Linked DNA regions of Drosophila melanogaster. The protein of the gene in region 3 interacts with the protein of the main gene of each other region in a pairwise test. Each region holds a gene or a part of one and is shown on either strand. Other genes may lie near its edges. The genes, in order: CG6470, Fer3HCH, CG17744 and CG4882.

Region 1 (4,698 bases), on a different chromosome or scaffold from region 3:
TCCAAAGGCCACCGACGACAGACAGTCCCAACAAGATTCCGTTCGATTCCGGCAGCTCCCGCCTGTGACCACCAGCACCTGTTGCGATCGACTGATGGCTTCGATCCGCCCGAGTTGCCGCTCATCGCCTATCTTGTATTCCCTGCACACGACCCACTACCGCCAACGCCACCGCCGCCGCCGCAAGCGCGAAAGAGATAGCGCACAGAAACTTTGAGCTTGACCGCCAAAGCTCGGCACGGAACGGAACGGTGAACGGTGAACGGTAAACGGTAAGGCAAGGTAGCGCCGGTGACGCAACGGACGTGCGTGCAGTCAGCTTCATTGAGCGAATGTATCGATGCACAGCTATCGTATCGATTGCTCGAGCTGGGTATCGAAGCGCTTCTGTAATACATCGATATCATTCTTCTTTACATATTAGATAGTGGACTAGAGAGGAAGCGATTTCTCATCGATTTTTTCGATAAATTTAAAAATATATATACCCATTTTAGTATCTTATTATGCTTTTAAAGCCTCAATGGATTATGATTCTTTTACCTTTCCGCCAAGTATCTAAGAAATGACAATTCATTGCAAGTAAATCTTCTGTTTAGTTCAAATATTTAATTATATTCAATACATTTGCATCAACGTGCTGGGGACTCTTAATTTAGTTTTAATTGACCGTCGTTTGTGGAATGTGACTATTCAACGCCAGTGTGTGTTTCGGTCTTCAGAACAGGTGAGTCTCCCACTAATCGTGTCATTGTGCTCAATTCATACTTCTAATAATTTTGCCTTCAATTCCACAAATTTTGATGATCCTGGTAAACAAATCAAATACAGTTGAGCTGCATACGCCCTGCACTTGACAATTTTCCTTTCGTTTCAATGGATTCTTCTGGTGTTTGGAAGCAAGCGTTGGTTCTGCATCCAGTTTCTGGTGAAGATTGGTAATGAGGACGACTAGCGCCAGCGCTCGTGCACTGCCGACTCGCGCATGATAATCTTCTGAAGTTTTTCCTGCTGGGTCATCTGATCCTGCTGGTTGGTGGCACTGTTTCCCTGGTGGTGAACCGGCTGCTGCGCCCGCTGAAAGTTGGGCAACGGCGCCTTCTTCTCGTGCGCCAGTTCCGTGAAGGCCAGCTTGCGGCGCTGCTGCGGCGGTATCTTCTTGCAGTAGCTCAGCAGATGGATGTGCAGCGTGCGTTCCAGGTCGAAGGAGCGATCGCAGTACTTGCACAAATGGACGGTGGTCAGGGTGGTTCTGCTCTCCCGCGGTCGCCGTGCACGGAAGCGCACCTTGAAGTCATCGTCGTGGGTGTGCCGGTGGGCGCCCAGCAGCGATCGGATGTGAAACTTGGCACCGCACACGCCGCACGAGTAGCTGGGCAGCTGCTGGTCCGTGGCATAGCTGCCCAGCGGCTTCAGCTGCAGTCGGCCAAACGGTCCGCCCTGATACTCCCCGCCATCTCCTTCATCATGATCGGGCTTCGTCGTTCCGTTGGAGGCTTGCTGTGCGGCCATAATGGCTTCCATTTCCGCTGCCTCGGCCTCGGCCTCGTAGTTCCGGGGCGTGAGGCCATTGCGACGAGGAGATAGCAATACTGTTGGAGAATGGAGAATGGAGAATTGGTTAACTCAATATGAGATCTTAAATTAATATCACTTTTAATATACTATATTAATCAGTTAAGTACTATATACCAAATTTGGTGTTAGTAGCTTTAATAAGGCCCAAGATCATATAGATAACAGGTGTCCAAATCGATTATATTTAATAACCTACAATTGTAATCGTTGTTTTAAAATAAATTGCACTTGAAACTTATGTTTCGTGATTTATATGAGTATAATAAACCAATAAAGTACTGTACACCAAATTTGGTGTCTCTTGCCTAACTAAGCACCAAGATCATATAGAAAGAAGGGTCTTAAGTAGATGATATATGTAATGATGATAAATATATACTGCTGTTTCAAGATTTTAAAGAGTTCTAATAACCAATAACGTATTGTATACCAAATTTGGTGTCTCTAGCTTGAATAATACCCAAGATCATATAGAAAGGTGCATCCCAAATCGACGATATGCAAATGTATTTGTAACTTACGATTGCAACTGCTGCGTCTTCTGTTATCGTAGTTGTTCGTCTTCTCCAGCGGCGAACTCTCCTCCTCGTCGGTCTCTTCCTGAGCTGGAGCGTGTAGCAGACTCCTCTTGCTGCGCCTGCGACGCTCACCATGGGCATGGCCAGCCATGCTCGATCCTTCCCGCCCTGCTCCTCCGCCTGCGCCAGCCGTGCTTCGCTTGGCCGCCCGAGTGGATGCACTGGCTCTGTTCGACTCGGACAGGTAGATCAGCTTGCGCTCCACCGCCCTGCGCGCGTTCTCCACCTGAGCCTCCACGAATTCCTGCGGCTGAATCCTGGAGCATCCGGTCCGCTTGGCGCGCTTCACCTTGATGGGCTTTTGCGGCTTGTTCATCTCGTGTGTGGTGTGCGTGTGTGTTTGTGTATGTGTAGCGTGTCTTATTAATTTTCAATGCTATTTTTTTAATTTCAGTTTGTAGTCAGTCGGTGTCGAAGGAATACTGAATCTAAGGGTGATGCTTAAATATATACCAATGAAACTAAGCACATCGCCTGCTGGGCAGGGAAATTTTAAATGTTGAAGTAAAAAACATTTTTCCAATCTTATATTTCATTTCGAATTTTTCGATTTTTAAACAATTTAACAATAAACAACAATTTAAACAAAAAACGCTTCTTAAAATATTTCAGGATTTGCTATTTAAAAAAAAATATATTTTTTTTAATTGATGATTTGTAATATATGTAGTTTTGACAAAAAATATTCTATTTAATGATTTTAGGATAGATAAGTTTGTGCTGTAATCGAATCAACTTATTTTAACTTATTTGAACTTGTTTAAAACAAAAAACAAACAAGATCAACTTTACGCAATCAAGTGACATGAACATTTTTATTTAAAAAAAAAAAAAAACGATAAAATTAGCTAATAAATTGTAGTGCAGTTAATATTACTAACAGTGGCCAGCATTCGTGTGTTGATTGTTGTTAATAAATTATAAATTATACACTTTACATGTCCGCCAGCCCAGTTATCAACCACGGTTTGAGTTCGCACTAGCGCACGTTTTCCCACCACGCGACGAACGGTCACATTGACCACCGCGTGCGAATTTTTTTTTTGGCCAGCAGCGCAGAAAAAGCAGCTGAAAGCTGGAAAAGACAGCATAAATCGCCGTGTCGATTCGAGACGATTGAAACGCCGCGCGCCCGCCTTTTGCAGTGGACTGTCAACCGTTTGCCGTTTTTCATTTTTGGCCATCGAGCACGGAATATGAGTGATACGCGTGAGCAGATTCTGGAGCAAATCAAAGTGCAAGGCGATCTCGTCCGTCAATTGAAAGCAGCGAAGGAGTCGAAGGAGAAGGTCAGTTTTTGGTCGTACTTCCAGTTGGAAACCGACTCCCTCCCTCCACCCAGCACTACCACTTCCACCATCCAACCCCCCCACCCGTCAGCAACGCGTCCGCCTTCCAGTGTCATCCCCCTTTGTGTGTGTACAATGGAATAAGTGCAATTGTTGCCGTAATTCCCGGCCCTGCTTTCGTCATCAAATTCGAAATCCCACTCGCATACATATTTCATCAGATCGTCATGCAGTTGAGAATAAGGGAAATAACAAAAAACACACACATGCTGCGCTGGCATTTGGAGTTGTTCGAAATCTTCGTTTTTGCAGTGTAATAATTAGATGAATGTAACATCGGAAGAGCGGTGCAAAGGAAAAACGGCAAATTAAAGGAGCGCGCAGACTTTCACATTTACATTCGCATTCGCACATTCGTGCCACTCTGTTGTTATTGTTGTCTCGCTCTGGCCAACGGCAAATGCACTGCTTCTGTGTGCGTGTGTGTTAGTGTTGTGCACAGTGATGCCAAACTATTGTCCCGACTATTTGGCTGGAAAGTAGCTTAAATTAGCAGTGCTGTCCGAAGCTGTGACTAATAGAAGCAATTGTTTATATTAATCTCTTGCTGATGTAAGTCTACTGATGCTCACTTCAAATCTTTGGCTGGATTTCCTTGAAACTGTGCTGAAAACAGTTGGAGACTTCTAGAAAACTCAATAATCTTTTGTGTTAATAAGACCTTAAAGTGATTTTTCCTGTACTCTTTGATGTTCTAGACGCTGTCCAATTAGAACAAGTATTGTACAGGTATTAAATAATCCAATTGGGATACTTAGGATATCTTTCAGATTTGAAGTTGAAGCTTGCATGTTCAGTAATCGAAAAAAGATTTAATTTCATAATTTTAGATTTAGATTTAATTAAAGTCAAGTAGCTAAATGAGACTAATAGCTGGATTTGCATCACCAAAGTGAGTGCTCTATGACCGACTGACTGACTGAAAAGAGAGCGACTGGTCAAACAGGAGGCATGTACAAAAGGCACATGGTGGTTATAGCGATTATATCAAAAACCTGCTAGACCACAATCAACCGATCCAAGACTTGACGACTGCAACATGTGATTTGGGCTATGAGGCATTTGCAACAACGCTTACCACCAACTGCACTTATTCCTATTGTTCAAATCTGTAGCCTTGTAAAGAGGCAATATCTTATATATAGATTTATGTACTATTTTTTTTTTAAGAGCTATCTGTCTCTCCGTTTTTA
Region 2 (3,067 bases), on a different chromosome or scaffold from region 3:
TGGATGAGTTTGTTGGTCAATGTGGGAATGCCCCCACAAACTTCCAGAGGGGTTCATGATTTCGGAAATTAGATCAGGGAAAATTTAATTTGATTTAGAACGAAGTTTCGCAATTCTGTACTTATTTCATATTATATTCTATGTAACTAAATGAATGAGTTACTATATTTGTCGTGTCTTGCCGACTTTCACGATCTCAATCTATATAGATATAGATAACCTATTAATACGTCACAAATGCTTATCATATAGACCAACTGCTTCATCATCAAGTTCCAAGTGTTTTATTATATAATGGGTAGAACAAGCGTAGTTAAATGTCAGGCTTCTTTTAACTTTTATCTTTATAGATTCGAGATTATCAACTGTTATCATATATATAACAGAAATATTGTGTCATTTGATTAGAAACGTATTTACAGAACTGGATAAAGCAGATGAGTTACTATCCAATACCATCAACACTGTGGTCCAACTAAAGGGTTATCAGATGGGTTTAGCTGTTGATTTCGTGAAGCTTTGTTTTTGGACTCAGTTTCGGTGTCGATTTCAATTAGAATCTTGCGCAACTCTTGGAGCCGATAAGCGAGTATATTTATAGAGTTAGTTTTACGCCAGCCACTTGATAATGTGGCAGCAAAAAAAAAAAAAAAAAAACAATTGATCGGCCAAAAAACGAATCTTTACTGAACACACATGGGTTTGCCAATTATAATACGTATTCTTCATCGGATGGTTGTCCATTTTGAGGTATTCATTTCGCAGGATGCATGCCGCTGCCCATATACTTGTCGAACAGGAATTCGCCCACCTGGTTTTGTGCCTTCTCCAATTGGCTAATATAGTCGGCCAGAATCTTCTGGCCATCCACTTGCTCCTGCAGGAAATTGGCCTCGATGAAATCGCAGAGATTCGGATCCGCTTCCTTGCCAGCCAGGGCGTGCAAATCGAGCAGATGCTTATTGACCTCCAGTTCCATTTTCATTGCGTGCTTTAGTGCATCCAAGGTGCTGGCGAAACAGGGCAACGGCTGTGGTACACTGCTCAAAATGATTAGACCACCACGCTTGTTCATGTACGTCATGATCTTCTCCGCGTGCTCCCGCTCCTCGACGCTCGCCTTTAGGAAGAATCGATGCATTCCGGGTGAACTGATATCGGAGCGATCGAAATGGTAGGCCTACGTGTATTGAACGTACTATATGCATATATATATATTCCCTATTGACTGCGGAACCTTACCATGGCCAGATACTGGTGGGATGCCTTCAACTCCATGTTGATCTGATCGTTTAGCTTCTTCTCGCAACTTTTGGCGAAGTTCTGACGCACCAGCATGCACATGTGGCGCCGAATGTCGCGGAAGCACCACGCCATGTCTTTTGCTTCTTTTTGAGTTTTTTTCTATCTTTTTTTTTTTTTTTTGTTTTTGAAAATTTAGAAACCTATACAATTTGGAATTGAAAGTCAAAACACAAACAGTGTGTCTAAAAGGCAACTGGGTCGGTTCGGACAGGTGTCGATGGATCGGATACGATCCATCTAAGTTCGTCCATTGATCTCATCTCCAAATATCCAGATCTTCACATCTCCGCATCGATCTCCGATCTCGCGATCTGGAGGAGGTGTTGATCCACCGTTCGGACGGCCAAAAAACAACGGGTTGGAGTTCAAAGTGCTGCCGGCTCTGATTTCACTTAACTTCCACTTAGCAATAGTGTGTACACAATCTCTCACTCGGTTTGTTCGCATCTATATACGTTCGTACGTATAGCTTATAGATACAGATACATATGTATATATGTACATATATAGTTAAATATCTGTGTCCAGATATGTTTGCTTTAACTTCAACAAGTACACACGAACACGGACACACTAAGTAAACGCAGTTATTGTCTTTTATTAAGTGAATGGAAGACGACTTTTGTCCGAGTTTTGTATAATCGTGTTATACCCTTTCTCATAGGGTATTTGAACGCTTTTCCCAAAATATTGCTGATACAGAAAATTGCGACAGCCAATGCAAGTTAAAATAAGAAATTTAATTTATTAAAGGATAGAAAACATAATATTATATTTTGTATTTCAAATGAAATGCTTTCGTAGGCGAGTTCAACGCGTCTTACAGGTTTAGGGTATTGAAAATGTAAAGATCTCCCAAGCCGAGGTTTCCAAACATTTCCTATAAACATCCAGGTGGTCAAAACTACTCGCACTTTACTACAAACATCCACTCATTACGCACATTTAAAAAACCAACAAAGCAATGGTGACTCTTGAAGCCATGTGCGCCCCATAAAAAGGCAATAATAAAGATATAAATGGTTCATTTTCACCGACACACAGGAAAACGAACCGAGAAAAAAAACACATAGGAGTTATGCAAATCATCGTTGAACTGGACAATAACAACCCAAATAAAAAATAGCAAACATTTTTAGATGAGTCTTTACGTTTTTTTTTTTCAAGCATTATGAAACAATTTTCCCTATGATTGTGATTAAATAATATATACACTTATTAAGTGAACGATGACATATGATCTTGTGTGTTTATAGAGGCAATTAACATGTTTAGTTCATTATGCAACAGTCGCAATAAAAATGAAAATTATTATCTTATTCAATATTTAAGGGTCAAATGGAAAGGCTTTTGAACACAGAAAAATTTCTAGAATTTTGTAGAAGATTTTACAGGCATTAAAGTTCTATAATTACTTAAGCATATTGAATTTCAACAAAATCCACATCGGAACTCAGTTAAATTTCAAATTCCACTCCCGTAATGCCAACAAGATTTTAATTTGGACAAGTGTGACAGCTTCAGCGACACATTTACATCACCTCCAAAATAATGGCAACAATCCAGTTTGCAGTGTCATAAAAACGTGCAACAAATTATTAACATTAAATTAAGCTGCGGAGTCACAAAAAAATTTTTATATACATTCGACGTGTTAACACAAAACTCAAACGTCAGCATATGAGGTAAAAAAAAAAAAACAAAATCCAACATAATTTGCTGAACATGAGGTCGAAAATAGCGTACGGCATACGAAAATATT
Region 3 (3,688 bases):
AAAAAATAATCTGAAAAGGAAAACACCGGAGCAACGAGGATAACAATCGCAACGTCAGAAAGTTGCGCACTTTTTGTAATTTTATTTTATTTCCGTTTAAATGCGTGCACCGCCCCCTTGGTTACCACTTCTCACTTTTCGGATGAGCTGGGCTGAGGTTTGGTGCGATTTTAAAGCTAAATTATAGCAACATAAATTTTTACGGCCTCTTTTGCCTTTCAAGAGGCGGGATTCTTTTGGAAATACGAAAATAAAGCTGCCCAGGTGCAGGACTTAATTCACTTTACTCTGCACTTGACTCCAAAGCTCCTTTTTTTGACACTCGACGGCCGTTTCGCATTTTATTTGATGCCCATTTTCATTTTTGCGCCGGTTCTTGTTTTGCATATAATCAAAATAAATTACTTTGCACATTTTGCGGCACATAAATTATTTAAGAAACGGTCGCATCAAAGCGCAGAGAGCATATAACGCAAAACTTGTACATACAACATGTACACGCAACCTCGAGCACATATGGTTCTATGGGGCACCTCTGTATTTAATATACTTCAAAAACCTAATTTAAAATATTTTTATGATTAAAAACGAAAATTTTAGCATGACCATGCGGATATTAGCACCTGTTTCATAATAGGCTGAATAACATGAATCCCTATTTATTTTTAAGAATTTCCCAACTTGCTTCTAAGTCGTCGTTTCTTATAAAAGGTTCTATATTTGTGTAACATTATTTTTAATGTGTATATTTAGCAGTGTCCATGTGCAGCGAGCAGAAGTGACTGTCTAAATAGTGGCCGAGAAGTAGAAATGGAAACACAAGCCGAATATGAAAAGGAGCCGGAGCTGGGGATGTGGAAATGGAACTGAGACTGGAAAAGTGGGTGGAAATGGGGTAGCCGGGGGATCAAGGGCCCTGTTAGGGGACCGAAAAACAATGAGACGGCAAATGCCAACCGCATAGTGACAGATTTTTTTTAATTTTGCTAAAAACCTACGACTAATTCTCAAACGAGCTGACACAAATCTCGAAAAGTTTTTGCGCCAACATTTTTGCAGAAGCGTCTGTCTGCTGGTCCCTCAGTCACTTTGTCCTTCCGCCTCTCCGACTGTCACAGTTCCTTTCTGCCCGACTGTTTATCCTGCGGAGCATAAGCTTCATATATATACACACACATACAAATATACAGAACTGAATACATATATACTAGCTGCAGCAGAAGAACTCAGCGGAGAAGCTTTCGGGCTTATAGAAGAGGCAAAATAGGATTTTATACTGAATTGCTCCAGTTAGGATAGTAAATTATTAAAAAAAAAAAGGGATACTCCCTCAGAAAATTGAAGTTTATTTATTTACTTATTATTTATTTACTTAATCACAAGATTAACTCATTTGTTTCTGTGCACAAACAAAATCCCATAACAGAAAAAATGTAAACTATGCCTATGTAGCATATTTTGTCTAATAAATGTGTTAAGATGTTGTTACACTTTGTTTATTTAGGTTTTTGTGACACTTTTCTGCTCAATGAATTTATTTCTATATTTTCACCTTCATATTTATGCTGTTCTGACCCCAAGACCGAATACGAAAAGCAAAAGGGTTAAAATTGCATTTTATTGTGGGTCAAAAGTGCCAACTACAATTAGTTTAAAACGAGAAAACCTGTCAAATAAAAACAAAACCTAAAATGTAACATGCTAAAAAACGAACATATTATGACCAAGTTGAAGATTTTTTTTGTGTTTATGTTCCAGTGTGTTGGTTTATATGTTGATTTAGACAGTTTTATAAACCCAAAAGCAAACAGATAGTGTCAACGTTGCGTATACGCAGCGTAAGCCGTTCTCCCGCGGCAGCTGCAGTTAAGGCAAAATATGCACAATTTTAAATATATGTATATATGTATATAAAGAGGATGTGCATAACTGGTCCTGAAGTGCATGGTGAAAATTCAGGAGGCCAGGCGTTTTCTGAATTCTACTTCAAAACAAAAATTTTGGTGCTAATACAGCAATATTTTTACTCAAACTCGCAGCTTCAACTTGCCACATTATATTTTTTTTCCACCATGGAGTCTGCTAAAGTCCTAAATAAACTATTGAAGGAAGCTCCCAAAGATTCTAAAGGAAGCAAAGAGATTGAAGAGTTACGAAACCTGATCATAGAGCTGATGAAACCACGACTGGGACAACTACTTCAGATACTAAAGACTCGCATGATAGCTTCCACTCGAGATGAGTTTCAAGATGAAAATGAAGACTGGTGGCCAGATTATGAGCTATTATCAGCAGACTGGAGAGCCTTCACAGATATGAATGTAAGCAAGAGTTATTAAAAAAACGAAATAAGAAAAAACTAATAATATATTAATAAATTATACTACAGGGTCTTTTAGTCTGCACTCAGAATGCTTTAAAGGGACTACCGGGTGATCTTAAGGCCATTGGTGAAAAGTTCGATTATGCCTATTCCGTTGCAAAGCCTATAACTGCTCGAAATAAGACCAAAAACTATTTTTTAGTAGTGGAACTTATAGAGGACATGGAGGACTTTGTAACGCACCTCAGCCGCCTGTGTAGCAAGAATCTGGACGAGCGAAGGGACCTATACGATCTGGCTTCGATAACTAAAGATACTGGCGATAGAATCAAGGTGAAAGTCTTCGATGAACGCATCTTTGTGCAATTGCAGTCGCGAATTGCAAGTCTTAGGAACTACATAAGGGACTTCTGTGCCCTTTTCGATGCCCACTTGGAGTCCGAAGAGGAGGATGAATTCGAAACATTAGATATGTTGGCAAAACCCCAAGGACCACTTGCCACGGGAACCAATGCTGATAAGGCCCGGACTTAAGCCAAATCGATCAGGAAGTCATCTCACCGTCTATTCCCATGGCATGGCTTCCAACGGTTTTCATTGTACAATACCCACACTTGGAGCTACAGAACACAGAAACATGACTCCGGCATATGGGCGGTAATAAAGAGTTCGCCTCCAGTGTATTGGAGTATCTGGGAAAGCTTTTTATGCTTCAAAGTCAATATAGTAGTGTGCCATGTACAGAGCGCACAGTTTTAAAACGGTAAGTATGCCTTTCAGTTACGTGGTCGTGTGTGGTGACACACTTGCCCCTCCGCACCATCCACTGAACAGCCCTACGACCCTCCAACAGCCACCCACCCACTGCCCCTTGTCAATGGGCTGTTAGTTGCTCCGAGCACAGACGCCATTCAAGCGGAAATGCAGCACCGAAAGCCGGCTACAAGCTGCACTGAGCGAAATTCGTACAAATATTTGAGTGCTAAATGGTAAATGGTTAATTCGCTGCTTACATTGTAAGTACGACATATAAATTGTCATTGAAAAAGTTAGAAATAGGAATTGTTCAGAAATTTATGAGCTGTCGCTCTTAAGAGTTATATATATATAAGGAAGTATATATAAGGAAGCTAGTATGCGAAGGACTTACATCCAAAGCCATTTACATATTGATAAACCCTTGCTATTTACTGATTTTTATTAAAATCTTGCAAGTTTTAGCTGCCTTTTACTGTGTAAGTTCTATGAACGGGCGCACGGCAACGACCAAAAAAGAGCCAGAACCATAGCCAGAGGCAGAAACCTCCATGTGAAGTGTGTCATCAGTTTAAGGTTTTTGTGGGCAGCACTCGCACACAGACGGCA
Region 4 (4,688 bases), on a different chromosome or scaffold from region 3:
GAGTGTTGCTTTTTGAGGCCTGTGAAAATTGGTGCACTCAAAGAAAAGTTCGCTTAAAGATGGAGCTTGGAAAATATTCAGATTTTGAAGAAATATTCATTGAAAAGAAGATTTCTGAGTGAAGATTAGATCAGAGCCAACAGACAGCGATGCAATCAATGAAATTAAAACCAAAACCAATTCTTTAGACATGCTGTGACAAGTCAATTGGGGAAATGCGGTGAATTTTCGCGCAGTGCACGACACGCGCCGGAAAGTCAGATTTCCACCCCTATGTCGAGTGGAGCTCGTTAGGACCGCCTCCAAACGCGGAAACGAATGAAATTTTCCGTCCCGCTCTCCCGAGACAAGTGCAGCATCCTTGTTCGTCCAACGTGGATGTCCTGTAGTTGATACAATCGTAATCGAAGCTTATTTATTCAAGGGCAGTTAAAAGTGTGTGCGGCCGCGGAGCTACTATAACTATGTGTTTTATGGCCGAATGACTCATTAGCGGGCTGTAAAATTTCAATCGAGTGCCGTGTGTGAATTTACCTGCAGATGCGATGGAATTTTCACTGCTCAACAAGGCGAACTTCGACAAGGATTGTTTGTACACCGCGAACTCGGAGTTCTACAACAGCGGCGCCAATGGAGGAGGACTCTCCGTGGCCAATCACATAAATCACTACAACCTCATGATTGACTCCAGTTACAAGCTCTGCGCCAACGAGTCCGCAATCCGGGGTTCCCTCAACCAGGAGTCGAGCTTATTGTTCTCCAAAATCACCACTGTCTCCGAGTTTTACCCGGCCACCCATAACATTGGCTCCTACAACACGGGTAAGTACAGTGGCCATCAGTTCCACCTGCAGCCAGTGCACCTGGATGGATCGATTATGGATTGTAATCTTGAACCAACTCTCACCTCGCCATAGACTTCCATTTGAAGTCCTATGGAGACGACGGCTTGAGCCTGACCGACAAATCAAAACAGAGGCGCATTCGCACCACTTTCACGTCCAACCAGCTGAACGAGCTGGAGAAGATCTTCCTGGAAACCCACTACCCAGATATCTACACCAGGGAAGAGATCGCATCCAAGCTGCACTTGACGGAAGCTCGAGTTCAGGTGAGGAAAACTAATGAGATTGAATTGCTGGTTAAGTGAGTGGGTAGTTTAGGATACACATATTTCAATAATTAACATATAACAAATAATACTTACATAATATAATATAACTATTGAAAAGAACTCGATCTGCTGTTGATAGGTTCAAATATTATAGGTTTCTCGAAGCCAGCTTACAATCGAAACGAATTTAGTCATATCCTGTTGAAGGATACAAAACGACTTAGTAATCGAAATTAAAAAAAAAAAAAACCATTGTGTGTTTTAGGTCTGGTTCCAGAACAGAAGAGCCAAGTTTCGCAAGCAGGAGAGGCATGCCATTTACATAATGAAGGACAAGTCGAGCAAATTGGATGGCCGGAAGAATCCTGTAGCAGGATCGAAATACCTGGGCCCATCTCTCAAGGGACCCCAGAATGGCCATGGCCGTCAAATGAAATGCTTATACGATCAAATATAGAATCCACTAATATCTATGTAAATATTAGTATACATTTTGATGAATGCAGTTATTTTGATATTATTTTTACTGACTATTTGGAGCGAATTGCGTTAAATAAATAAGATCTGTGTAACACTTTGCTTGTTTTCATATCATCCGGGACAACTGGCTTAGCACCCTTTTGAGGGCTCAGCCGGCTAAGCCTGTGGGAAGAAAAACAAGGACTTGAATGGGGGTTGAAGGGTCACCATCTACAAGTACCAAACCTCACGCCCTTCAGGGGTAAATTGTCATCCCATTATCGGGTGGAAAAAGTGGATTGGATCGGCATTAGGGCGTGTAATCAGTTGATGGTGGCGATTCGGTGCGCTCAATATAGCAATTGTTGTGGAGTGCCCACCGCAGGGATTGGCGGTGAATACCTTTCAGATCTAATTAACAAGATCAAGATTGAATTGCAGTTTATTGAAATCATATGTGCCCAGATGTATAACTTAATATTGCAATTTATAAGTAGTGCCCGCCTTTCAACACCCTCGAATGATTTTAATAAACTGTGAAATCGTTGTTCATTTTACATTTTTCTACACTTCATTAGTGAAACGTATATACAGATATTAAATATATACATAAATATACAAATATCATTTAGCCTTTTAACTATATATAAAACGTACTCTTCCGTTTTTTAAATAGTTTTGTTGCAATTTGATTTGATTATTTTATGTGTTTTTTCATTTAGAATAAAAGAATTCAAATTAATTATTTTATTCAAATATTCCAAGGACATTTTCAATTCCATCGTTCCCGGAAAAAGCAACATATTATAAGTCGAAATACCCTCAATGCTTTCGAATACGAAAATACCGCTATCTGCGGTATTAACTGGCGAACGCGCTAGGGATTTTGTTGCTCTTTTGGCCAGCTGCATGTTATTTGTTAATCGGCTGGTTATAACACTTTATGAATTAAAAAAGACAATTGACAATGCTGCGATCGAGGATTTCCTGCGCACTGCCACCCAGGAGACTGGTGTCCTACTTCTCGGCGGAATTCAACAAGGTGGCGCACGAGGGACCGGCTAAATTCGCCGCAGGCAGCAGTCATGCCGTAACGAGTGTGGATTTGGATGTGTTCGTCAATCCGGATAACCGTCCCATGGACCTGGTGGACCGGCTGCTCAAGCTCAGGTGGGTGCGGCCATATTGGAAGTAGTGTCCCTACTCATAAGATAACTCTTGCAGGAAACAGAAGGAGGCCAGTTTGGTGCCGCTGATTCCCAGTGTCTTGGTCAAGCAATTGCTGGACTCCACCAATCCGCAGGAGACGATATCGGTGCTCCGTAATCCCATCCAGTACGGGCTCTTTGTGGACCAGTTCTCTGGCTGCTTCCTGTTGGACTTCCTGCTGCACAATGGCCACGCGGTGGAATCTGCCCAGCTGGCCACTATTCTCGTGGACAGAAACTTATGCAACAACGAGTTGCTGGAGTCCCTGGCCCTACAGTCCTTCTGGTCCTTCGCCAAGGAGTTCAAGCCCTTCGAGTCCTCTCAAGTTCAACCTCCTGCCAAAAATGTTGAAGTGGTAAGATGATTTTCGATAGTGGCTGAATTATCAGCTAAGCGGCTGGAAACTTTATTCACTCATAAATAGCTATTTAAGATTTTGTTCATTTTGGCATTTTACCAAGTTTACTAATCATACCTGAATTTGCTAGGAAAAAGTTCGCGTGAAGTTCATTCGCAATTACCCCGACGACGCCAGCGAAAATACCGAAGAGAAGAAACTGGGTCGCGCCATGGTTCGATTGGGCTCCGGCGAAGGGTCCTTGAAAGAGCTGAAGCAGAACGTTGCCCTACTTGGCTATGTCCTAACCGGACAAGTGCCCGAGGCCTCCAGCTTTCTGGCCTCGAACTCAGCTGCCCTGCACAAGGAGACTCTTTTAGCCGCACAGAGCATAGTTGAAAGCCTCAAGCTGGAGGGATCCGAAGAGCTGCTGAAGTCCCTGCAGGAAGCCGTTGAGAAGAGTAGCAAATCGAATGCCATTCAATCGCTACTGGAGAACAGCGTCAAAGCCAATGTGCAGAAGTTTGAGCCCAAACTGCTGGCCGACTACGGCGAGTCGTATCAGGAGTGGGCCAAGAAGTTTGAGGCAGCGGTGCAGCGACAACTGGATTCGCAGAGCGTGGAGGAGCGTAAGGCCACCATCCAGAAGACCCTCAGCGAACTGGAGGCGAAGCGGCAGAACCTGTGGTTCTTCGAGAACCGGGACGACATCGACATCCAGATCTACAAGAAGAAGGTCTACTATCCCAAGCGCTGGTTCGGCAAAAAGAAGAAGCCCAAGGCAGCAGACACCTTCTATGTGCCGCCGACTATCACGCACAACGGCTAGTGGACAACCCGTGGACCCACGACAACTCCTGGCCACAAACAAGTTAGATCCAATTGTTTTTAAGCTTTAATTAAACTACTGGAGAGTTAATCCAAATTCAAATGTTGTTTCTTTTCTCGAACGTTAAATTGTTTAAAATTACCATAACGTAACATTGAGGGTCACAGTTATATTCATTCCATCTCAGTTTACAACATTTTTTTTATACTTTTTCTTTGGAGTTTCCATAAATTTTTGCATCCTTAAAAGCTAATCGTCTGTCATTTGTGCATGGCCGAGGGCAGAGCAGTTTTTAAAACCCGCTGCCCGGGTGCTGAAGGGGATAGATTGATGGGCGAGGGCATGTCGTGCCTCTTGTCCTGTATGGTCAGGGGCAAGAACTGCTGCTGCTTCTTTTTCCGGTTCATGTTCATGGGATGGGTGTTGTCGTTCTTGCCGAACAGAATGGTCAGGTGGACAGCACAGAAGATTCCCAGGCTCTGTGCGAATTGGTTTTCAATTTATTATTGGTCAACTAACTGAGAGTTGAGAGAGAATCCATTGGGGGGGACTCACCTGGAATATGGCTATGATGGCAGCTCCGAAGGCGGTGATCAGCAGGCGGTTCCTGATCTGCTCCGATACGACGGCCAGGCATCCGCGCTTGTAGTGGGTATCACATGCTGACTCGTAGGCGTGCTCCGGGCGCGAGCAGCAGGACCAGGGCAGCGAAAGTCGGCGGTAATCGAGAGGTCCGTCGA

The links.
Region 1: the proteins of CG17744 (region 3) and CG6470 interact in a two-hybrid assay, tested with the Drosophila melanogaster proteins (one large-scale study listed by BioGRID).
Region 2: the proteins of CG17744 (region 3) and Fer3HCH interact in a two-hybrid assay, tested with the Drosophila melanogaster proteins (one large-scale study listed by BioGRID).
Region 4: the proteins of CG17744 (region 3) and CG4882 interact in a two-hybrid assay, tested with the Drosophila melanogaster proteins (one large-scale study listed by BioGRID).

What each region holds. Positions count from the first base shown.
Region 1 is NC_004354.4:18,512,238-18,516,935, forward strand, and holds CG6470 (uncharacterized protein), read right to left. Parts: upstream 2,631-4,698; 5' UTR 2,473-2,630; coding exon 2,100-2,472; intron 1,593-2,099; coding exon 952-1,592; 3' UTR 592-951; downstream 1-591. Other genes in the region: HisRS (Histidyl-tRNA synthetase), read left to right, coding at 3,353-3,445.
Region 2 is NC_004354.4:13,106,720-13,109,786, forward strand, and holds Fer3HCH (ferritin 3 heavy chain homologue), read right to left. Parts: upstream 1,476-3,067; 5' UTR 1,378-1,475; coding exon 1,243-1,377; intron 1,181-1,242; coding exon 755-1,180; 3' UTR 663-754; downstream 1-662.
Region 3 is NT_037436.4:7,025,133-7,028,820, reverse strand, and holds CG17744 (uncharacterized protein), read left to right. Parts: upstream 1-2,026; 5' UTR 2,027-2,072; coding exon 2,073-2,321; intron 2,322-2,389; coding exon 2,390-2,857; 3' UTR 2,858-3,020; downstream 3,021-3,688.
Region 4 is NT_033778.4:23,880,170-23,884,857, reverse strand, and holds CG4882 (uncharacterized protein), read left to right. Parts: upstream 1-1,930; 5' UTR 1,931-2,040; intron 2,041-2,338; 5' UTR 2,339-2,540; coding exon 2,541-2,743; intron 2,744-2,797; coding exon 2,798-3,137; intron 3,138-3,270; coding exon 3,271-3,948; 3' UTR 3,949-4,041; downstream 4,042-4,688. Other genes in the region: PHDP (putative homeodomain protein), read left to right, coding at 546-822, 918-1,111, 1,380-1,571; TM4SF (transmembrane 4 superfamily), read right to left, coding at 4,209-4,427, 4,504-4,688.